Linked DNA regions of Arabidopsis thaliana. The protein of the gene in region 2 interacts with the protein of the main gene of each other region in a pairwise test. Each region holds a gene or a part of one and is shown on either strand. Other genes may lie near its edges.

The links.
Region 1: the proteins of CAK4 (region 2) and E2F3 interact in a protein complementation assay, tested with the Arabidopsis thaliana proteins (one large-scale study listed by BioGRID).
Region 3: the proteins of CAK4 (region 2) and CYCD5;1 interact in a protein complementation assay, tested with the Arabidopsis thaliana proteins (one large-scale study listed by BioGRID).
Region 4: the proteins of CAK4 (region 2) and CYCD6;1 interact in a protein complementation assay, tested with the Arabidopsis thaliana proteins (one large-scale study listed by BioGRID).

Annotation. Positions count from the first base shown.
Region 1 is NC_003071.7:15,116,870-15,124,061, forward strand, and holds E2F3 (E2F transcription factor 3), read left to right. Parts: upstream 1-2,719; 5' UTR 2,720-2,818; coding exon 2,819-3,094; intron 3,095-3,130; coding exon 3,131-3,280; intron 3,281-3,610; coding exon 3,611-3,797; intron 3,798-3,849; coding exon 3,850-3,891; intron 3,892-3,931; coding exon of another isoform or gene 3,932-3,985; intron 3,986-4,069; coding exon 4,070-4,244; intron 4,245-4,370; coding exon 4,371-4,422; intron 4,423-4,520; coding exon 4,521-4,579; intron 4,580-4,660; coding exon of another isoform or gene 4,661-4,711; intron 4,712-4,817; coding exon 4,818-4,866; intron 4,867-4,986; coding exon 4,987-5,052; intron 5,053-5,141; coding exon 5,142-5,218; intron 5,219-5,391; coding exon 5,392-5,635; intron 5,636-5,761; coding exon 5,762-5,831; intron 5,832-5,926; coding exon 5,927-6,024; 3' UTR 6,025-6,315; downstream 6,316-7,192. Other genes in the region: EMB3114 (Mitochondrial transcription termination factor family protein), read left to right, coding at 312-1,313; HVA22J (HVA22-like protein J), read right to left, coding at 6,555-6,860, 6,967-7,050, 7,160-7,192. UniProt on the Arabidopsis thaliana protein: Transcription activator that binds DNA cooperatively with DP proteins through the E2 recognition site, 5'-TTTC[CG]CGC-3' found in the promoter region of a number of genes whose products are involved in cell cycle regulation or in DNA replication.
Region 2 is NC_003070.9:24,892,362-24,898,631, forward strand, and holds CAK4 (CDK-activating kinase 4), read left to right. Parts: upstream 1-2,161; 5' UTR 2,162-2,413; coding exon 2,414-2,515; intron 2,516-2,601; coding exon 2,602-2,900; intron 2,901-2,975; coding exon 2,976-3,084; intron 3,085-3,966; coding exon 3,967-4,092; intron 4,093-4,167; coding exon 4,168-4,403; intron 4,404-4,479; coding exon 4,480-4,654; 3' UTR 4,655-4,898; downstream 4,899-6,270. Other genes in the region: SGA2 (ASF1 like histone chaperone), read left to right, coding at 225-333, 633-748, 822-1,187.
Region 3 is NC_003075.7:17,676,429-17,682,321, forward strand, and holds CYCD5;1 (cyclin d5;1), read left to right. Parts: upstream 1-2,739; 5' UTR 2,740-3,068; coding exon 3,069-3,311; intron 3,312-3,391; coding exon 3,392-3,478; intron 3,479-3,562; coding exon 3,563-3,872; intron 3,873-3,947; coding exon 3,948-4,096; coding exon of another isoform or gene 4,097-4,102; exon of another isoform or gene 4,103-4,177; coding exon 4,178-4,360; 3' UTR 4,361-4,836; downstream 4,837-5,893.
Region 4 is NC_003075.7:1,430,423-1,435,834, reverse strand, and holds CYCD6;1 (Cyclin D6;1), read left to right. Parts: upstream 1-1,973; 5' UTR 1,974-2,143; coding exon 2,144-2,344; intron 2,345-2,442; coding exon 2,443-2,526; intron 2,527-2,599; coding exon 2,600-2,695; intron 2,696-2,776; coding exon 2,777-2,984; intron 2,985-3,054; coding exon 3,055-3,185; exon of another isoform or gene 3,186-3,271; coding exon 3,272-3,460; 3' UTR 3,461-3,991; downstream 3,992-5,412. Other genes in the region: AT4G03260 (Outer arm dynein light chain 1 protein), read right to left, coding at 4,404-4,996, 5,098-5,244, 5,333-5,412.

The DNA.
Region 1 (7,192 bases), on a different chromosome or scaffold from region 2:
AAAAAACCAATCATTTTCCAAGCATTGAGACTTCCATTCTTAAAATAAGAATATGAGGCCCAATGGGCTTGGCAAGAAAGTTAAACAAAAAAAAGAAGAAGACAATTTTACAATTTTGTCAAGTTTTCAATTGAAATAAACCGGTTAAATCCCAATTTAAACCGGATCAATCAAGATATGGTAATCCCCTTCTCCTTCTCCAAAAATCACAACTCTGTTCCAAGTCTTATCCTTTCATCATCATCATCACTTACCTTCTTCACAGAGAGAGAGCTTCATCATCATATGTAATGTGAGATGTCTCTTGAACAATGCAACAAGAAGCTCTCTCTTTCCTCTCGTCCTCTCTCCCTTCCCTTCACCACAATTTTCCCTCTCTTTCTCGCCTCCGCTTCAACAATTTTCCCGCACTTTCCTTCAAACCAAACACTTCATCATCATCTTCATCATTCTTCAAATCCCCAGATATACCCTCTCTCTCCTCCACCACAACAACAACAACAACCACCGAAACCCTAGAATCCTCAATCCACGAGAAACTCATTTACCTCGATTCACTCGGAATCGATTTCCTAACCCTAATCAACCGTCATCCACCTCTCCTCTCCACCGCTCTCTCCGCCGTTGAATCAGTCGTCGATTACATGACCACTCCACCAATAAACTTCACTTTACAAGACTTTCGCCGCCTCGTCTCAATGTGTCCAGAGCTTCTCACTTCACCTTTAACCTCACACACAATCCCAGTCATCACTTTCCTCCTCCGTGAAGTCGGCGTTGACTCTATCTTTGACCTCCGTCAAGCTTTACGACGTCGTCCTCGTCTTCTCGCTTGTAGCGTCGATCACCAGCTTAGACCAACGCTTTACTTTCTCCAGAGAATCGGAATCTTAGATCCGCATAAACATACGTATCTTCTCTCTTGTAGCGTTGACAATAAACTCGTACCACGGATTGATTACTTCGAGAAGTTAGGATTCTCGCGGCGGAGCGCCACCGCGATGTTTAAGAGATTCCCGCAGCTGTTTAATTACAGTATTGCTGAGAATTATGAGCCGAAGTTGAAGTATTTGATGGTGGAGATGGGGAGAGATGTTAGAGAGGTTCTTGAGTTTCCTCAGTATTTCTCGTTTAGTTTGGAGAATCGGATTAAACCGAGACATGAAGCTTGTGCTGCGAAAGGTGTGAGGTTTCCATTGCCGGTGATGTTGAAGACTAATGAAGCTGGTTTTAGAGATACATTGGAGGTATGTTGTGATTCTTCTCCGCCATTGAAGACCTCTCGCCTTGTTACTGTACAAAAAGATTCTTGATTTATAGAGTTTTGTGTGCTAGGAGAACATGGAAGCAAGTGAGTGAGAGTTTCTTGCTTTTTGTTGTTGTTTTTTTGTTTAATGGAGTTGGAGAATTGGTGAGAATTGATGGGGTTTGCTTTGTTTTTAGGTACATTTTTGTAATGAATGATGATGAAGAACTCAATGAATGAAGAAACCAGCCTCTGCCTACATTTTGAGACACACACAGGGATGGTGAGTTAAATCTTGATAAGAGAAAGAATGTTCATTTACAATTCACGATTCCGATGTATTTCGGTCTAGTTATTGTTAGTGAACGAGAAATCAAGTGTATGTAAGTCCAGAAACCGTGTAGAGTTGCGATTTGCAGAGAATTGTGATTCTACAATTGGAGGCAAGATGATGAATGTGTGAACTGATTAGCGTAACGGTTTAGTTATTGGTCTTAAGTCTTAACAGGGAGAATTGGTTCTAGAGCTTTTAGTCCCTTTGATGGTTCGTGAAATGCCAGTGGTCTATGATCGGATTCTCTGTTTCCGTTCTCCTTCTTTTTTTGGGCCTTAAATCCGTTTTTATTGGGCTTCAACTTGATAACGACTTTACATTCTCTCGGCTCAAATGGGGTACACTCGTAATGAACATGAATGAACTTAAGGTACTACAATACAACAATGCCTCACACTCTCTAAGTGAACCATTTTTCTTGTGACCTGTAATAAGCTAACGGCGCAGGACAAGAAAAAAGCGGTACGAAAACTTTGCCAATCTAGGTCTTTACCAATTTCTATTTACCCTTTCTAACTATTTTCTATCACTCATTTGTCGTTAATACTAATTAATGACATCAATCATGTGCAATATTATAGTCCTCCAAATACTGAATTGAATTATGAATCCTTCATCAAGTGACTTTAGACTTAATCTACACTTCGCATCAGTTTTTCCACTGCCATACATGATACAACAACCACTAATCAATACAAAAGGATAAAAAATAAAAATAAAAATATTATTACACATATCATAACGGAAACAGCAGCACATGTACTATAAACAAACTCTATCCCAATCTATTTGCAGAAATCTGTTTACCGACTACACACATTTAAATAAAAATTTCAGATTCAAAAAACAAGTTCTAGATCAAAAATATATATGCATGATCTCCTCTTCTTCACCATTATAAAGAACAGAAAAGAATCTCAATATTCCCGTTACTAAAAGGCACAAAAAGTAATTTCCCTAAAGTAAGTAGGGTCAATCTAAAACTAAATACAAAATCCCGGGGCACAAATAGAAAGAAAAAAAAGTATATATTTATTTCCTTAACATTTTATTTATTATTGCTATAGGCTTCCCTCCACATCTATCCCAACATAAAATTCCCTCCTTCCCTCGTTTTCTGCTCTCTCCTTTTCTTTTCTTCTTCCTCTTTCTCTCACTAAAACCCTTGTTTCCTTCACTCGCCGTCGCTTTTCCCGTCATCGGAATCTTCAAATTCGACTCTCGCTTCACTACGATCCATGTCCGGTGTCGTACGATCTTCTCCCGGTTCTTCTCAGCCGCCACCGCCGCCGCCGCACCATCCACCGTCATCTCCGGTTCCGGTTACATCTACGCCGGTTATACCACCTATACGTCGTCACTTAGCTTTCGCCTCAACAAAACCTCCGTTTCATCCTTCCGATGATTACCATCGATTTAACCCTTCTTCGCTCAGTAATAATAACGACAGGAGCTTCGTTCATGGTTGTGGTGTTGTAGATCGGGAGGAAGATGCTGTCGTTGTTAGATCTCCTGTGAGTTTTGGGTGCTTTTGATTCTTCGATTTAGAGATTTTCCCCAGTGAGATTGGTTTAGAAATTCGAGGATGTTTTGGGGATTTCGATTGCTACTTGTTGCTTCTAAGTCTGATTCAAAAGCTTCGCAGCGTTAGATTATCGTCGATTCGTGTCAATTTTTGTCGTTTGTTTAGCTTCGCGATGGTACATTTTGCTCATAACACTGCGTTTCAATTACACCCAATTGACGCAAATCAGACATCAATTTCTCCAATTGCCATGCCAAATTGGCTCTGATTGTTGCGTGAGGTGTTGAATGTTCACATAGTGTTGAGCATTAGCTTATTGATATCAAAGTATTGGTGTATGAAGCTTGACATTGTTTGTTAATGTATAATGTTTCAAGTAGATCCCAATGTTGTGAAAGTTTATGAGGAATGATATAGATAATTTGTGTGTGGATGCTTTAAAACCTTTTGGATGATATTTCTTTGACCAACTTCTTTAAGCTAATAACAACTTGTTTATATGCAGTCACGAAAGAGAAAGGCGACAATGGATATGGTTGTTGCTCCATCTAATAATGGATTCACGAGTTCTGGTTTCACTAACATACCTAGCAGTCCCTGTCAAACTCCTAGAAAAGGGGGCAGAGTCAACATCAAGTCAAAGGCCAAAGGAAACAAGTCAACTCCTCAAACACCCATCTCGACAAACGCTGGTAAGAAGAATTGTATTCTTGACTCTCTACCCCTTTTGGCCTTTCTATATAGTTAGATCCTTTTATGAAATATCTTTCATGTCTAGAGTAACAAGTAAGTCGAAGAGCTGATTACTTTCCTGGTCAACTTGCAGGTTCTCCTATCACACTTACTCCATCAGGAAGTTGTCGTTATGACAGTTCTTTAGGTAATTAACAACTTTTCACATATATATTTAATATTCGATACATGTTATAGTGTATATGAAGATGCTGACATAAAAGCTGTTCAGGTCTCCTTACAAAAAAGTTCGTCAATCTAATTAAACAAGCCAAAGATGGAATGCTGGACCTAAACAAAGCTGCAGAAACATTGGAGGTGCAGAAACGACGTATATATGATATTACAAACGTTTTGGAGGGGATAGATCTCATTGAAAAGCCTTTCAAGAATCGAATACTTTGGAAGTGAGGATTTTTATGATATAGTATGCTTATGTATTTTGTACTGAAAGCATATCCTGCTTCATTGGGATATTACTGAAAGCATTTAACTACATGTAAACTCACTTGATGATCAATAAACTTGATTAGGGGAGTTGATGCGTGTCCTGGCGATGAGGATGCTGACGTATCTGTATTACAGGTGTAGTGAAACAGCATACACTCAAAAGTCATTGTGCATGTAAATCTTAAAATATCATGTAGTTCTCGCTTCCTTTGATTAATGTTCTTGTTTTGTAGCTGCAGGCAGAAATTGAAAACCTCGCCCTCGAAGAGCAAGCATTAGACAACCAAATCAGGTAAGCATTCATTTAAAGAGTTTTGGGTTATTGTGATTAATCTATTTAACCAATGCTGACGCTTTAACAACTTTTATTCAGACAAACAGAGGAAAGATTAAGAGACCTGAGCGAAAATGAAAAGAATCAGAAGTATAAATCTCTGTCTATCTATCTTTTCGTATGGCTAGTTTGTTCTGGCTATGAGATGGTGCTATTTATATGATGGACACTTAACCAATCCGTTCACATTGTCCAGATGGCTTTTTGTAACTGAAGAGGATATCAAGAGTTTACCAGGTTTCCAGGTCTGTCTTTCCTATTTCATATGTTTAATCCTAGGAATTTGATCAATTGATTGTATGTATGTCGATCCCAAGACTTTCTTGTTCACTTATATCTTAACTCTCTCTTTGCTGTTTCTGCAGAACCAGACTCTGATAGCCGTCAAAGCTCCTCATGGCACAACTTTGGAAGTGCCTGATCCAGATGAAGTTAGTCTTTTTCAGCGACCTTGGATGACATCTGCCATTCTTTGTTAGATTCCAAAACGTTATTATAATGTTTCTTCTTTACTTGACAGGCGGCTGACCACCCACAAAGGAGATACAGGATCATTCTTAGAAGTACAATGGGACCTATTGACGTATACCTCGTCAGGTATTTATGCGTTGGCTTCAAATAATAGAAACATTGTTATTGGCATTTTCCGTGACTTCATATACTCTACTGATGATGGTATACATATAATTGAACGTATCAAAACAAAGATTTCTATGATTTGGAACATTCATTGTCCCGTTTACATGCTTTTACTTTGTCTTCATGTTCAGCGAATTTGAAGGGAAATTCGAAGACACAAATGGGAGTGGTGCAGCACCACCAGCATGCTTGCCTATTGCTTCTAGCTCAGGATCTACAGGACACCATGACATCGAAGCCTTAACTGTTGACAACCCAGAAACTGCTATTGTGTCTCATGATCATCCTCATCCTCAACCCGGCGATACCTCTGATCTTAATTATTTGCAAGAGCAAGTAGGAGGAATGCTTAAGATTACTCCCTCTGATGTTGAAGTAAGCCATCTTCCTGCTTATTTTTATAATGAACATAGAAATAGGAAGTTGTGCAGAGAAACTAATTAACCTGACTCAAAATCTACCCTCATAATTGTTGTTTGATATTGGTCTTGTATTTTGCAGAATGATGAGTCGGACTACTGGCTTCTCTCAAATGCTGAGATTAGCATGACGGATATTTGGAAAACTGACTGTATCCTTTGCATATATGCAATTTGTTTCTCTCTTATAGTTAACTATATCTATCTGCATAAGATATAAATACGCAATCCTTAACTCTAGCAAAAGCTGGTATCGATTGGGATTATGGAATAGCCGACGTGAGTACTCCACCACCAGGAATGGGCGAAATAGCACCAACAGCTGTTGACTCAACCCCGAGATGATCGAATACCAAGCACACTTCTCAACTTCTGATCCCAAATGTGTTACCTCACAACACTCCCTAAAATCATATACAAGGAGGGAGCAACTACAGAACGTGTATGAACCAATGGCAGGTGCGTTCCATACAATGTACCATTAGATTATGATTCATTTATCGCCTAGAGTGATGTTGTAGAGGAGCACCGAGAAACTAATGTAAGTTTAACAGAGAATGTACTTCATCGGCTGCATTGGTACACTATTTGATTATAATATTTTTGACCACTCAAATGCATCTTTATAATCAGCTATATGAAGAAATCCAAACTCAAATCAATATCCGGATTAAAGCGGGAAGTTTAAACGAAAACAAACACAAATATTCTCGCTGTATTAATACTTACTGCTTCAATTTACAGAAAACATGAAAAAAAAAAAAAAATCTGTTTTGTTTCAATTCAAAACTTTCATTCACTTTTCTTTCCCTATATATCTTTAAACAAACGAAAAGGGTTTCTTTGTCGAGTCACGTATATGTACGTTTGCGTTACTATGCCGCTGGCTGAGTTCTGGAGTTAGAACGTCGCAGCTTAGCTCGAGCATCAGTGAGGGGTGATCCCGGAATTGTATCAGGAATGTTGACTCCATCATCACCGTTAAATGTTCCGGCGGAGTCTCGGCCTGGTGTTGGTGGTGGTGTTGGTGGCGGCCACTTCCTCCCTCTGCTTGTTTGCTTCTCTAGCGATCGCAACGCAGATAGTGATTTGTTCAGCGGTCTTGGAGCGCGCGGTGATGGAGGATCATTGTCCATCTCCACCGGTGACTGCGCGTTCATGTTCACGTTCCTCTCCGTTGGCTTTAGCACAAACACAAAAATTCAAAAGTGCAAAAGGGAGGTAATAAACACAAGATTGTGTTTGCATTAGTACATAAAACGAAAATCAAAAGCGATAGAAAAGTACCGGTTGGTTAGCTGCAGCGGCAGAGAACCGGACCGATTGGGCGAGTACGTACTGAAAACCCTGGATCAAGGTGGATTGACCGGCCTGTGCATCAACATTATATGTATGTTGTTAATCTTATAATAATTTAGTCAAACCTTTAAAAAGAACAATTTGTATATATAAGTAATAGAAAGATAATTTAAAAAAGGACCTGGGCGAAGTTGTTGAAGTAAAAGATGAAAAA
Region 2 (6,270 bases):
AAAAAAAAAAAAAAAAAAAAACTCTGAAGCTTCTTCTTTGATTAATTCTCTCCTGGGGAAAAAAAACCCTAGCTCTTCCTTCTTCTCTCTTCTCTTGAATTATCTGCTTTCGAATTTTTTGAAAAGGGAGAAACTTTTTCATCTGGGTCTCTCTCTCTCCCGAGTTTGGATGAAGTTTATTGAAACCTAGGGTTTTTCTCCGACTTGGTTGTTGATTAGAGATAATGAGTGCAATCAAAATCACCAACGTCGCTGTATTGCATAATCCTGCTCCTTTTGTTAGCCCTTTTCAGTTCGAGATTTCTTACGAGTGTTTGAATTCTCTCAAAGACGGTAAAAATCTCCTCTTTCTCCTTCCCCTGAATTGTAATTCATCTCGACTTTATTTAGGTTTTAGTCTCTGCTGATTCTTATGGATTGTTTTCAACACCAATTTGTTGCTGCTGATTGTAATTGGAACATATTGTTACCTAATTGCTTTGTCAGAGTCATGCTCTAATGGTTTGTTTTCTAATTGATAATCTAGAGTCTTGTTGTCTATTAGTTGGATTTATCTATGCACAAGTTCTTGGTTAACATTGTTATAGGGTGAGGATAACTTAGATAGACCCGTGCTTTTGCTTGTGGTACAGATTTGGAATGGAAGCTTATCTATGTAGGCTCAGCAGAAGATGAGACTTATGATCAACTTCTAGAGAGTGTGCTTGTAGGGCCTGTTAATGTTGGCAACTACCGCTTTGTATTTCAGGTAACATATGCACTACTACCTCTTCCAAGCACCAACAAAGTCTTGGTCTAACTCTCTATTACTACTGTTACAGGCTGATCCTCCGGATCCATCAAAGATTCAGGAGGAAGACATCATCGGTGTTACTGTGCTATTGTTGACATGTTCTTACATGGGTCAAGAGTTCTTGAGAGTTGGATATTACGTGAACAATGATTATGAGGATGAGCAACTCAAGGAAGAGCCTCCAACTAAGGTTTTGATTGATAAAGTTCAGAGGAACATACTTTCCGACAAACCTAGAGTTACTAAATTTCCTATAGATTTTCATCCAGAAGAAGAGCAGACTGCTGCTACTGCCGCTCCTCCTGAACAATCTGATGAACAACAACCTAATGTCAATGGTGAAGCTCAGGTTTTACCTGATCAGTCAGTAGAACCAAAACCTGAGGAATCATGATCCTTATACCAAGTCTAGTTGAAGAAAAGTGGATGAGAATTGAGAACTATTGTCTCCACAGATGTTGCGCTTTGCTTTTCTGTCTTTCAAAAGCATTATATGCTGTTTGTTGTACTTAATTCTAGAGGCTTTAGGGAAGTGATTCTTGACATTTTTGTATGTTTATGTTTTGGGCAAAGGTTTTTTAAATCGAAGCAAAGCCAACAGTTGCCAAACAAGATTCTGAGTTCTGATGGTTGGAATTTGGTAATAGGTGTAGAATAACTTCCCTAGATTTTCTCAAGGTACAAAGCGACATTTGATCTTCATCATTTGTTGAAAAAAGTGCCGTTAAATGGTCATAGTTAGCATTGATGATGATGATTATCATCATCATCAACCATAATTCTTTCACCAAAAAAACATGAGTCCGTGATTTTTTTAGGACCGTTTCACAGTTGTTCTGCCAAAAATATGAGTCCGCATTTATTCACCAAAAAAAAAAAAAAAAAAAAAGTAGTACACATTACAATTTCTCGCCTAACGATTTTACTCTGTGGTAAACCGAAAGATAGTTAAAAACGGCTCCATTTCGATTACTTTGAAAAAAAAAAAATGTTTGTTTTGTTAAAAGAAAATATCTTTTAAAATATTAAAAAATATTTTATTCAAACTTTTATTAATACAGATCTAATTACTAAACTCAATAACATTATAAAAGCCGTGTTCGGCTAAGCCCAGTAAGCCCTATATGTTTTGAATAAATACGATATTTTATAATAAACAGATTGTTGTTTTTAAATACCTAATAATACATAATATATTCCTATACTTGACAATAACGAATAAGAATTATATTACCTATTATTTTGGATTTCGTAAAATTATTTTATATTTTTTTTAGGTAAATGGTAAATTTGTAAAAAATAGCTACTTTGATATTTATATTGTGTATTATTTTCTACTCGATAAGATTAATCATCAATAGTTCGAGGTGGAGGGTTAAATTATCTAGGGTCTGATGATCATGTAGAATCACTTCCTGCAAACAAATCACGAGTGTTAGCATATTTATGCTATCCACAGTATCATATGGCTGTTTCTGATTATTTCATAAATATAAGGTTCGTTTCATAAAACACAAAATCTTACGGGTATAAAATTGAAACCAAAGAATTCAATTTCTTAAAAGTGTTTCACTAGGAGCCCTCGTACTTCCTCGAAGTGTACCGGAGAATCTAAACCCAATGTCGAAATCCGGCGATAATCAACCAGTTGATAGATACCTCCGCCGTCAAATCCTCGGAGAAGGAACATACGGTGTCGTTTACAAAGCCACCGACACAAAGGTAAAATCAAAAACCCTTCCCGATTTCGTTTTCAATTTCATCAAGATTTTCAAACTCAACAATCTTCGATTTTGTGATTTCCTTAGACTGGGAAAACTGTAGCAGTGAAGAAGATAAGATTAGGAAACCAAAAGGAAGGAGTAAATTTCACAGCTTTAAGAGAAATCAAGCTACTAAAAGAGCTGAATCATCCACATATCGTTGAACTCATTGATGCTTTCCCTCACGATGGAAGTTTGCATCTAGTTTTTGAGTATATGCAAACAGATTTAGAAGCAGTGATTCGTGATCGTAATATCTTTTTATCTCCTGGTGATATTAAGTCTTATATGTTGATGACTTTGAAGGGTTTAGCTTATTGTCATAAGAAATGGGTTCTTCACAGGTAAGAAGTTATGCTTAGGTTTATAAAGATTTGATTTTGATTGTGTTGATGGTTTGTTTTTGGTGTGGTTGTTAGGGATATGAAGCCGAATAATTTGTTGATTGGAGAGAATGGTTTGTTGAAGTTGGCTGATTTTGGTTTGGCGAGGTTGTTTGGGAGTCCGAATCGGAGGTTTACTCATCAGGTATTGATGCTATGATTGATACGGTTTTGAGCTTGGTAGCTAGGTTAGTGTAGTTCTTGATGATCTTATTGGATTTATTGGTTAGGTATTTATATAGTTATTGATATTTATGGTTGCATTGGTAGCTAGATTAGTCTGGAGTTTGTAGTAAATATCTTGGTACTTCTTCTTGATGATCTATTTTGAATTTTATGCTCAAAATGAAGAGTCGGTACAGAGTATTGAGAAGATATCATACTTTATGTGTGTTTGGTTTTGGTGAGGTGAAAGATTGTATTGACATTTTTTTACCCTAGAAGATTCTGAGATTGATTAGTTATGAAGAAATCTCTTCTATTTTTTGTTTGAATTGACAGGTAGATTAGTCTTGTTCTTGATGATCTATTGGTTTTTTTTTGCTGGGACAAACTAAGAGTATATATAGTGCATTGAGAAGACATACTATGTTTTTAATTCGAATGCTTGCATACCTATGTTATTGGTTTCGGTTGGTGATTACAAGTTTAAGTTTCCGGATAGCATTTTGTTGATTACGGTCATATTAACATTTTGACTCAAGAAGATTCTGCAATTGATTAGTTCTGTAGAAGTCTCTTTTTGCTGGATATGGAAAAATTGATACAGAGTATTAAGAAGACATCATACGGTTTTAATTTTGATTCTTGCATACCTGTGTTTTTCGATTTTGGTGAGATGAGAGATTGATGGTTCAAAGTCACCAGATACAGTTTTGTTACTTACGGATGTATTAACATTGTTACTTTAGAAAGATTCTGAGATTTATTGGTTGTGTAACTTGTGTAGATATCTCATTTGGTTAGCTATTTGTATCTGCTTGTGGAAGATTCGTTAAGTTTAAATTGGTTATACTTATTCACACAGGTATTTGCTACATGGTACAGAGCGCCTGAGTTACTGTTTGGGAGTCGACAGTATGGAGCAGGAGTTGATGTTTGGGCTGCAGGCTGTATTTTTGCTGAGTTACTACTTCGTAGACCATTTCTTCCGGTAATGCTCTATACCCTTCGTACTTCATGTTTAAAAAGTCTGTAGTTCTCTAAACATTTCCTATACTTTCTTCAGGGTTCTACTGAGATTGATCAACTTGGAAAGATCTTTCAAGCGTTTGGTACTCCAGTACCTTCCCAATGGTCTGACATGATCTATCTCCCAGACTACATGGAATTCTCCTATACACCCGCTCCACCATTACGTACCATTTTCCCTATGGCAAGTGATGACGCTTTGGATCTTCTAGCAAAAATGTTCATCTACGACCCACGTCAAAGGATCACAATACAACAAGCTTTAGACCACAGGTATACTCTTGAAAAAGAAACCCACGGGACAAAAATTCTGTTTCATCACTCTGATTATCATTGGTTTTTTCATCAGGTATTTCTCGTCTTCTCCATCACCAACTGAGCCAGGGAAGCTTCAGATTCCAGCTTCCAAAGGAGACGCACTCGAACCAAAGGCCTCCGAGCAAAACCAACATGGAAATAGCCCAGCGGTACTGTCTCCTCCTGGTAAAATGAGGAGAGTGATGGGTCCTGAAGGATTCACTTGAGAAGATGATGTTTCATTTCTTTTGGAAAATATCAATGGATATGCCCAGAAGATTTCAAAATTAGATTTTTACCATTGATAATTCAATATTAGTTAACTATCAAAGAGAAAAAATTTAAAGCCATAAATGTCCTTCTTAGTTCTTACTTTGTTTAATTTACCAAATATGTCATGTATCAACTATTGTTATAATTTCACTATATATCAACTATCTTACCATATTAATATAAATATTATTCAGATATTTAATATGTTAGCACGTTATATTCAGTATAACATGTTATTATAAAGTTAAATTGATTATTTCATATTAATTTGTATGATATGGTAAATGGTTTAATACGATATATAAAAATTTATCGTGATACTATACTAGTTAACATATTAATCAAATAGTTATATATATTTAGCACGATACTATACTAGTTAACATGTTAATCAAATAGTTATCCACATAAATCATAAATATTTTATGCAATCCAATGATAAATACGACAGTGTCGTAAATTTCGGATGAATAGTGTCTTCAGGCAGTTGATGAACAGTATCATGTCTAAAATATCCGGTAATAAATAGTGTTTTGAGACAATGACATATTTAGTAAATTAAACAAAATGAAAAAGGAAATTTATGATTTTAATTTTTTTCTCTTTCATACTTACCTAATATTAAACTATCTATAATAGATATCTAATTTTCAAGTCTTCCAGGCATATACATTAATATAGCTCTTTCCTTTTTTCCTTTCCTTGACTATAATCACTAATGGAGAGGTATATACAGTAATGACTTTAATTTCTAGAATTGCGTTTCGTAATGCTTTTCTACAAAGTAGTTACCATAAAAAAATATCAAACGAGAAGCCATCTTTTGACCTCATCCATGTCTAATATCTATTGACGTTAAATTCCTTCGAACCTTAAACTGATAAAAAAAAATTATCTTCAATAAACTTAAATTTATGATATAACACTGACCGAAGAAAAAACTAATTTTTCTAAAGAAAACACATTTAATGTTTAATTATAATTGCACTAAATTCTCACTCTAAACATTTTTCCATGACTATGAACCAATAATAATTCAAATATATGTACACGTGAGTGTCTTAATCAGTGGTTGATCATATTCATATTGTCAATTTGTGATTAATATTCATTGGGAAGCAGTGATCTTGTTGTATAGGGACTAGGCTTTCACAATATCTGCAATTTCCACTCCTATTGGCGATCCATACATATTTCATTGGCCCACTAAAAAAATAAATTCCAAAACAATTGGCATTACTACAAATACTTACTCTTTCGGTTTCATAAAGAATGTTTTTCTATAATTTTATATTTGTTCATAAAGACTTCTAAAACTAATCACTTATTAAATATGGACTCATGTATATATATATATTTTTTTTAATTTGTATGAAATGTGTCAAAATGATATTTTTTCAAGCCGATGAAGTACTAAACAATCTCTATTTGGTGCGGTTTGGTTTTTGAAGTTATGATTCTTTTGACTCACTCTTACGATCAGGAACTCACAGTTTGGACTTTGGACATAGACCGTGACCGGCCCATGAGAGACACGAGTTAAACTTTGAATTTAGAAGAAAAGAGTATT
Region 3 (5,893 bases), on a different chromosome or scaffold from region 2:
TTTGTTTTTGCTAGAGGATGAATAGACTAATACACACCTCGAAAGGAATCATAAGTAGATTGGAAAATATTGTGTGTAACGTGTGTTAGGTATCCTAGATTTGTTAGTTCATTAAAAATGTGATCAAATTATATTTGGTTACTAACTCTTTTTTTTTTTTATATGTCTGACTGTTAACCCTTCTTAACTCTTAAGAGTTCACTATGTTCAAATAGGAGCATTTATTTTCGTCTCATTTGCTATATGTAATGTCATATTTAGTTACCAATATTACATTTTATTTTCCACATAATAGTAATTTTATTAAATGCGTGAAATAGACCACAAAAGACTTTGATTCCTTATCAACAAGGGAAGACAATCATAGAAAGAAAAGCACGAGAAAACAAAAATAATTTTGTTTCACCAAAAAAAACAAATTAGACATAGATATTCACCAAGCGAGTTAGCCTAACGACCCAAAACTTGTTTTGAAGTGATAAAAAAATATCCTGCAAATTCATCATCATCGTTACTAATTTCGGTCAATCTTGGCAATTGCAGATCACATCATCTAAATTCTAAAATGATGAAATGCATTTTTCAAGTTATTGTGAAATTGGTCCCTCATCTTGACTACATACAAACATCTCAGAAAAAAATTTGTAACATAATGTAATCATTGTATATATATACATAGAAATGCACAATAATACAAGTCAGAAGTTAAAAAAAGGAAATACAAAAATAATCTGTAAAATACGTAATGTGAGAATATTACTTGTATCTAGGGGGGAGATCGAACAAATGCTGCTGATACTTCACTAACATACACATAAAAGTTGCAGATTTTGGATCTTGCGTCTTCTTGGTTTTATACCCTTTTCTTACATCTAGTCTTATAAATATTAATACTATAATAGAAAAATTAATTATCCTATATATTGAATGACTCGGCTCCAAAGCCATGCGCCTATATATACAAGTCTTTTTATTTTTTAAAAAATTTGTCAAAAAAGGGACCAGAAACATATAAAGATGGGAGCCTCATTTGCTGATGGATAAATAAATATTTATTTGATTTTAAGTTTGTTCAAGACTAATTATAGTACAAATTAGTAAATTGTTGTTCTTTTTTTTTCTTAACATATTACATATTGTATAGTATAATTCCACTTTCATCCAATTGGATAATCAGTTATAATTCGGATGGTTTACGATACATCGGATTCTGCTTTCAATTTTTCTTGTATACATCAAAATTTAACACATGATAAGGTTTTGGAACCCGCTAACGAGACCTACCTATTTTTACAATAAATATACTCATTCAGTATTTGTCTATATTTCTACCTACAATCTATGTGAATTTGCTTACGTATATCTACTCTTCTTATCTACGTACTGTATAAATTTTCATACACAATCTTCGTGTCTCGTAACATCTACTACATGAGTCATATACAACTTTCTCACCTAACATGGAAGTCATTACTCGTAGGCCTAATTACTCGTTACCGTGAATATAACTATAAAAAGTGAGGAAACAAAAAGATTTACGGAGAAGAAAAATTGAATAATAATTGCAATAGAACTATAGGAAAATTTGTATATGACTTAGCAAAAATAATGATATGGAACTAAATTAAAAAGTTGAGAGGATTTTTTTTAGTGGGAATGGTATGGTGTTTCCCCCACCAATTCCTAAAAAAAACTTATTGCAAAATTGCTCTTTTGATCTTTATTTTCTTCCATTGAAAATGAATTTCTAGGTCTGAATTTAATTGAAGTCAATAAGTGGGAAATAACTAAACTAGCTATTCCTCTGTTTTCTGTTCACAATTCTATTTTGAATAAAGTACATTTTAATTCAAACCTCTTAAAATAGAAGTTACTACAAAAGCAACAAAGGGGGTGGTACGTGGAATACACTAATGAGAAATGTTAATAAGAACGTTGTATTTGGAATGGGATTTAACTTTCTGCACATAAATTTCAATGGGATCATTATTCTTTCCTAACTAAATGATTGATACAAATTCAAAGGATCCTATAAATCTTATCTCAGAGACCGAAAGAAAATTCCATTTGTACAAAACAACAAATAAATAGAAGAAAAAGTTTGATGATAACATTCTTAACAGAATCCGTGAACTTTGTTCATGTAAGAAATCTAGAGTGTAATCAAGGAAGTTCAACAGGTAAAAACAATGACATTTATATATGGACGTTCTTAAAACGTGTAAATCTCATATATTTAAGACAGCCACAATAGTTCTAAACGCTCTCCATTCCTGCATTAAGTATTTATTTCTATTAATAACATTTAATTTATCAATAAAGTTCACATTATCATAGACAACTCCGAAATTAAAAAAGTTTTTTTAAAATAAATTTGCTTAAACTTAAATAATCAACAAAATACAAAACAGTTTAATGGAAATAGCAGAAATCTTTTTCAAGAAAATACAATACTATTAGATAAAAACAATTTTGTTAAATTAAAAAAAACCCATAATTGACTAGCATCAAAAAGTCTTCAAACACAAGTAATCCTGCTGGATATTAAAAAAATAAAAGAGTAATCATTCCTTTAAAAAATGTGATTATTTGTCGACCCAAAAAAAAAGAGTGATGATATTATACATATACTCAAATATTAGTGAACAAATAAAACCTAAAATTAATCAAATAATAAAGATTTTTAATTTAAATGTAACCGCTAAATAACGCCCCCTCTCTCTCCCCCACTTATTTTTGGCGGCACCAGACGCGGGAGACTCTCTCTCTCTCTCCACTCTCTCTCTCTTTTTTCTTTGTTTTTTCGTCACTTGCTCCTAAAATCCCAAATCGAGTAATGGAAGAAAAATCAAATACGATGATTTAGCTTCCCTTCTTATTCTTCCCCTATATTCACTGCGATAACTTTGCCTCTCATCTCATAAATTAAAAAAAAAACACTCTTCTCACAAATTCTTTATAATTCCCCTTTTGATGTGTACGGACACACCACCGAAGCAGAAGCAGAAGAAGAAGAACACTTCTATCTCCGCCGCCGCCGTCGTCTTCATCATCATCGCCGCCGTTAAATGGGTGAGCCTAAAGACAGTCTCGCTCTCTTCCTCTGCCACGAATCGGAGTCTTCTCTAAACGAAGACGACGACGAGACGATTGAGAGATCTGATAAGCAAGAACCTCACTTTACTACTACGATCGATGATGAAGATTATGTGGCAGACCTTGTTCTTAAAGAGAATCTCCGATTCGAAACCCTACCCTCTAAAACGACGTCGTCTTCCGATAGATTGATTGCCATCGATTGGATTCTCACTGTCCGTAATCTCAAAAAGATTTTCCCTTTTTTGATCTTTGTCTTAATCTCTGATTGATTGGTTCTTTGTCTTAATCTCAGACAAGAACAAGATTTGGGTTCCAACATCAAACAGCTTACATTGCAATCTCATACTTCGATCTGTTTCTCCACAAAAGATTCATCGGTGTAAGTTTCAATCTCCAGTTTCATTTATCTATAAAAATCTCACCTTTATCTTCAGATTAAAGCTTAAAGATGGTTTCTTTGTAGTTGCAGAAAGATGAAACATGGGCGATGCGATTGTTATCAGTAGCTTGTTTATCATTAGCTGCTAAAATGGAGGAACGTATTGTTCCTGGTTTATCACAATACCCTCAAGATCATGACTTCGTTTTCAAACCCGATGTCATTCGTAAAACTGAACTGTTGATTCTATCCACATTGGACTGGAAGATGAACTTGATCACTCCTTTTCATTACTTCAACTACTTCCTTGCTAAAATCTCTCAGGACAACCATTCTGTTTCTAAAGACTTGGTGTTGTTAAGATCCTCTGATTCTCTTCTTGCTTTAACTAAAGGTAACTCTATTAAGAAACACATTTTTTTCTCAAGATCAAAGCATTTATTGATATCACATTTTTGTTTCCATGTAGAGATAAGTTTTACGGAGTATCGACAGTTTGTTGTTGCTGCTGTTACTACATTGCTAGCTTCTTCTTCTACCTCATCGGATATTAGATTGACTAGAGAAGAGATAGCTAACAAGTTTGGTTCGATCTCTTGGTGGACTTCTAATGAGAATGTATAAATCTTGGTGTCTTTTTATTCGATTTTGATTGTTTGATGTTGATGATCATAATCTTAGGAGTGTTGGGTTTTGTAGGAAAATGTATATTTGTGTTATCAGAGAACGCTAGAGATTGAGGAGAGGAAACATATGACACCTCCACCGGAAATAGCGGTTTCTCGCGAACCGCCGGCTTCAGGAAGTGGCGCTAAACGCCGATTGTCTTTTGATGATTCTGATCAAAGTTCTCCACCAGCCAAGAGAATGCGTAGGCTATGAAGAGAGAGTTTCTTTCTTCTTCAAGTTTTGGCTTATATTGATTTGGTTTCTTTTTTGGCAACATATTGATTTGGTTTTATATTCAATCATTTGATTATAGAGAAAAAATGGTCTGAATACATCGGTTATTTCAATTTTTATGAAGTAACTCATATAGGTTCTTCGTATGAAGGTCTTTGGATTTCTTGGGGATGAAATGTGACTATTAAAACATTAGGGGCTTCTCTGAGAGAATCTAGGAAATATGAGGAGTGAATGTAAATAAATAAGAAAAACAGAAAGGGTGAATAGTTTTAGGCCAATAGTTGCAGTGCCAGTGATTTGGTTTCACATCCTCTTTTATTTTTTTATTGTCTTATTTTTTTATTTGTTATGTTGCAATTTCTTTTTCATTTGATATTACAAAATTTTGTCATAGATTTTTTTTTTTTTTTGGCATCAAAGTCCATTTTTTTAACCTCTTTAACTTTCAAAAGGGCTCATTCATAGCAAATAATAAATGAAAAAACTCTTTTTAAGGTAAGGTAAAATTATTTTATATTTGATAAATATATTTATTTTCTTATCTTTATTGACACTTTTGGTCATCTCCAAAGTGAATCCATCTGTATGCTACTCAACATGTTATGTCCATTCCACAAAGTCCTTCGTGATCTTTTCATGTTCTCAAATCTCAATATATAATATCTTGGAAAAAAATTAATCAAATAAAAAGAAAATTTTCTTGTTTAGGAAAAATCATCGTTACTTATCTTTGATAGATAACTACTTTTACGAATTGACAATCAGTCGATCACGATAAACTAAAACGGATATATATTTTGCTCCAATAAGTTTTCTTTAGCATTATAGAAACCAACAACTTGTAGTGGAACTGTGGAAGTACTTTGGATCAATGATTGGATCTAAAGATGAAACCCCAATTTATACAGAAATTTGCATGTGATGTTTTTAAGTTAACGTACTATTCTACGCGCAAGTCAAAAGTGCATCGTACTCGTACATATAGAGGTAGATTGTTTTTTTTGTGTGTGTTTATAGGATTATTGTTAATATTTTCAATGAAATGCAGTTGAGAAAAAAAAAAAAAAACATATGTGTAATAGACTGAAGAAACAACAACCCAACGACTTGTTTAAGTGAGAAACAACTGTCTCATACAATACAACTTGGGATCCAAAGTTTTGGTTCCATTAATTAAAGCTTTAATTCCAAAATGATTAGCAACGAATTAAAAGACTTATTACAAACAAAATGCATTCTTACAAATTAAGAAGCATAAAGTACTGACAGAATATAATTAAAGATAATGTGTGTGTGGTTTAAGGCCAATGTTTTGTTGCTCTAAGAGATTATTCAACAAATCAAGAAGCATAAAGGGTCAAGCTTTACTTCACCAAGAACTAGTTAATGCTTCTGAATTTTCTGTTGCCTATCTTTCAATGAATATTAGTATGTCCCAATTGTTATTTTTTTTTTTTGCTTATTATCATTGAGTTAAACCATTTTGTTTCTGTTGGGTTTTGTGTAGAC
Region 4 (5,412 bases), on a different chromosome or scaffold from region 2:
TTTTGGATAAAAATAGCATTAAAAGGTTTTTTAGACATAAATAGCACTCAAATAATAATACCACAATTTTATGGACAATAATAATACCACAATTTTATATAAAATCTATTCAACCAAAATAAGTTAGAAATAAATTTAAAATATTATATTTGGGTTCTCTATTTCCAATTTAGGGTATATATTTTAACTATTTAAAAAAAATTTTGATTCCTTTTAATATTAGTTTATGGTATTATATTTGGGTTTCCTATTTCCAATTTAGGGTATATATTTTCACCATTTAAAAGAGATTTTTCATTTTAAAATTAGTTTGTAGTATTATATTTGGGGTTTTTATTTCCAATTTAGGGTATATATTTCCACTATTTAAAAGTTTTTTGATTCAATTACTTCTTTTGCAATAAATATCTAATATTTTTTTATTCTTTAAAGTGGTTCAAAATCTGGCATTTGTTAAAAAGAAACAAAAAATTGTCACTCTTTCTCTATGAAACATATTACTATTATATTGTTTAAAAAACAAGAAACTATATTATTATCAACACTTTTCTGTTGTTTATTAGCTAATACTCCCAAAACATTTTTTTTGGACAAATACTAATACCCCCAAAAACTAATAAGCTGTTTTTTCTTACGTTACAAGCATATAAATTCTTATGTTTGTTAGGTCAGTCAATGTTTTCTTTCATTTCGTTCATATCTAGAGTTTCAAAGGCCTTTGCATTTCACATTTTCTACATAAAATTAATGTTTTCTTTTCCGTCTAAAAATAGACCAGTCAGGCTTTGGCAGTAAAAGATCAAAGTAAAAAAATAAAAACAAAAAGTTTGTTCAAATGGCGTTTTCACATGGCAGTTTGTTCATTGACTTCTCAATTTTTCTTTATTGACTTAAAAAAAATAATCTGAATATATATGTTGGGAATTTCAAAACCTAACAAAAGGTAAGTACAAAGACTTAAGGACAAGGAAAACCAAGCTGTCACAACCTAATTAGTAATTTAAAATGTGTGATACAATGATGATTAAAAACAAAACAAAGACTTAAAAAGATTTCTAAAGTTAATCAATGTTTGTAACTGTTTGGACGAGATTCCAAAGTGACGAATCTTTTGATACATAAAACTGTACATTACATCAGCTCTATTTATGAGTAAATGACAACTTTATGTGGTAAATAAAATGGTTTAACGATAGTATATGTTATTATCATATTTAATCTCCCCAGCCTTAGTATATTTTAAAGTTGGGTCTTACCAAATTCATGAAAGAACTTTAACACACACAAAATTCATAGAAGAACTTTTTTTTAGCATGATACTAAATTTACATGATCTAAAACTCAAACAAAATGTAATATCTATATATATTATGCTGGTTTTTTTTTCAATATGATTTTTTAATTGTTTGGTACTTGATATTAATACTAAAATGCAATTTTATTTATTTATTGAATTATTGACTTAATTTGTAATAAAATCTAATAAAAACATTACACGTATTAGTGTATTACATATTTTTTAAACAACTAAGTAATAATTTACGGTTATAAATTTTTAATACAAACGGCTCTGTTTATGAATATTTGTAGTTTAAGGTTTTTGCATACAAATTAAGAAAACATACAAATCTCATTTAATTTATCTATTTCTTATAAAAACACCATTAATTACAACTAATCCAACCAATAAAAAAATATGATGCAAAATATAATTGGTTAAAAACTATTAAATACATTTAATGTTTGCATAGAAAAGTGAAAACAACATTTATATTGAAAAAAATAAAAAATTATTGAACTACACTTAATTAAAAACAGAGGATTATAGAGAATTTAAGAGAGAATATTGGATTTTTTTTCCTTCTAATATTGCAAAAGAAGAATCTCTTGAAAAAGATTTGATTATCTTTGATAAAATCTTAATTCTTACTATCAATGAGAAAAAATCGAATAAAAAAATAACCAAAGTGGTAGTAATAAATAAATGTGGAAAATCTCTCAAAAGACCGAAAACCATCTCTCTCTATCTCACAATAAAGACAACTTCTCTCTTTTAATGTCTCTCTGTCCCTCTCTCTTCTTCTTCATCTTCTAACACCAATTCAAGAAAGAAGGAAGCTTAAGAAGAGTCTATCATCAATCAATGGAGTTTCATCTTGAACATCCTCTCTCACATTCTTCACTCCACAATAACTTCAACGACGACACAGACTATGAAACTTTACCACACTCTCTCTTCCTCGTCGAGTTTCAACACATGCCTTCTTCTCATTACTTCCATAGCCTCAAGTCCTCTGCTTTTCTTCTCTCTAATCGAAACCAAGCCATTTCTTCAATCACTCAGGTCTTTTTAACCAAAATTATTTTCTGGGTTTAGTTCTGAATACTGAATCGTTATCGAAAGACTTAACTTTATTTTAATTTGTAACTGAACAATCGCAGTATTCAAGAAAATTCGACGACCCATCTCTGACGTATCTTGCTGTGAATTATCTAGACAGGTTCTTGTCTAGCGAAGATATGCCGGTAAAAACAGAATCTTCCGACAGAATCTGTCCTTTGTTTCATCTGAGTTTTGACTAAATTGTTTTGTCAACAGCAGTCAAAGCCCTGGATTCTTAAGCTCATATCTCTCTCTTGTGTCTCTTTGTCTGCAAAAATGAGGAAACCAGACATGTCTGTTTCTGATCTTCCGGTAACTTAAAACTCATGAATCTTTATAATGTGAATGTGTTTTAAAGTGTTGATAAGTGTCTGAACATTGGATTTTTTTCAGGTGGAAGGTGAGTTTTTTGATGCTCAGATGATAGAGAGAATGGAGAATGTGATTCTAGGAGCTCTTAAATGGAGGATGCGCTCTGTTACTCCTTTCTCCTTTTTGGCCTTTTTCATTAGTCTCTTTGAGCTCAAAGAAGAAGATCCTTTACTACTAAAACATTCCCTCAAATCTCAAACCAGTGATCTTACTTTCAGTCTTCAACATGGTAAATACAGAATTGCTTTTCTTCAATCACATAATCACAATATGCTAAAATCTGTTTGAAAACGCTGCAGATATCAGTTTCCTCGAGTTTAAACCATCGGTGATTGCAGGCGCGGCACTTCTCTTTGCTTCTTTCGAGCTCTGTCCTCTACAGTTTCCATGTTTCAGTAACAGAATCAACCAATGCACATATGTAAATAAGGTAAAGAAGTCTTGAACAAGTAAACCATCTCAAATCGAGCTTTTTTTTCATCGCGGTACTAAGCGAGCATTAAACCGTGGTTGCAGGATGAGTTAATGGAGTGTTACAAAGCAATACAAGAGAGAGATATTATAGTTGGAGAAAACGAAGGAAGCACTGAAACAGCAGTAAATGTGCTTGATCAGCAATTCTCGAGTTGTGAAAGCGATAAGAGCATCACAATCACAGCTTCTTCTTCACCTAAGAGGAGGAAAACTAGTACTCGTCGTTACTAAGCTGAAAAAGGTGGTTAATGGTCAAACATAATCGTCAGATGAAATCAATCACTTAGCTACTTCAAAAACCACTTCTGGTCCCCTTATGAAAATGACACTTGCTTCCTTTCCCCTTATCTCCATCCATCTTCTTCTGCTTCAAAAATAAACCATTTCTCTCTTCCTGGAAGACAAGAGAGTGATGAATGATCAAAGACAAAGTCTCGGGTTCTGTTCCGTTGCTTGTTCCTTTGGACCACAACACAAAACTCAAAAAATTCAAAAGAAAAACAAATTACCAGTCTGTAGTATTTATCTATCTATCTACCTATCAATCATGTTCTGTATTTACAGTTTTGGCTTGTGGAGTTAAGTTGTTTCACTTGGGGGGAATAATCAATAAATATTGTTCTTGTGTAGTGTATATAACCCTATGGTTATGTTATTTATTAATGAACAAATGTGGTCACGAGATAACAATGAATTCAATTTTCAGGAATAAGATTTTGTCTTATGAGACTTCGTTATCCGACTTATATGGATCCAGTTGCCAGAATCTCTGTTGCAGGCAGGCAATATGATACTCTTTGGACCACTTTACACAGTCTTTAAATCATTCAATTGCTTTTGTTCTTACTGTAAATGAATCCCTTGCACTAACCCATATTAGGCCCACTAGCATCATAACGGCCCAAGATTGTGATATACAAGATCCATTCAAGCCCATTACTTAATGAAAACAATTGCAAGACTCAGACTGTGCTGAAAAGAATGTATACCATGGTTTCCAATTTCAGACATTATTGAGAAGCTATAAGAATCAAAGCTTCTGATGTATGTAATGCACAACAACAAAACACAAAGATGAAGAAGATGAATAAAGGGAAGAAAGTGTGTATCTATCACATCTTCATCGTTACCTCGCTAAGGAAATCGCAGGCAATGAAAGAGGGAGAGAGAGAGATCAGATAGGTCCGAGAGTTCCTTCACTTCGACTTCTTCGCATGGAGAGCTCAGTTCTCAGACTAGACAATCTATCACCAGTAGCAACGTGATAATTCTCGTAAGCAGCTGGAGATAGTTTGTGTCCCACAGGTGGAAGACGGCTGCGTCTCTCCTTGGACCGTTTCTGCAATGCTGGTGCTTTACGAGCTGTGGAGGATCCAGGTTTGTGAGAACTGGATGCACCATGGCTACTCTTCCGGCTACTGTTTTTGAGCTCTGATCTAAGGCCTCGGTCCAACTGATGTGTGCTTGTCCCGAGCCGAGCATCTTTAGTGCCTTGTCTATTATAGTATACCAAATTTGGCAGAAGTCCCAAAAGGTACTTTCTCAGTTGTTCATCACCAACATTCTTCTGTGCAGGGTTACCTTCCAAGCTTATAGCCTGAAGAGAACTGTAATTTGCAGCGAGCTGGCCAAGACATTTGGTGGTTGAAAACTTATTGAAGCGTAAATCCAGGACCGTCAATTTCAAAAGTCGATGAAGACCCTCGATTTCGCTGATTTTGTTCCCAGCTAGGTATAGTTCTTTCAGAGAGGAGCACGAAGCCAGACCTAAGTCAACAAGAAATAAGAAAAAGGGAAATACATCAAACATGGTTTTCATATAAAAGCAGATAACTAGGAAATGTCGATGAGCAAAGGTCGGGCCATACCATGACCAAGTCTCAGTATTCGGTTGTAACTCAAATCTAATACTCGAAGCCGAGTGAGTTCACGTAGGCCCTCAATCACCGAGATACTGTTCTTCGACAAATTCAATGCATGTAAACCTCGAGGAAGAGCACCAGCGGTTATTCTAACTGAAAGATGTAATAAGGCCAGTTAAATAGAAGAAACAAAAACAATCAGTATGTGAAGAAGATTAGCAAGAAGGGAAAATTTAGCTACCTATAGCATTTCCTGAGAGATTGAGAACTCTCAGACCAACAAATGCACTGAGGAATGGTATCACAACCAGACCATGACTA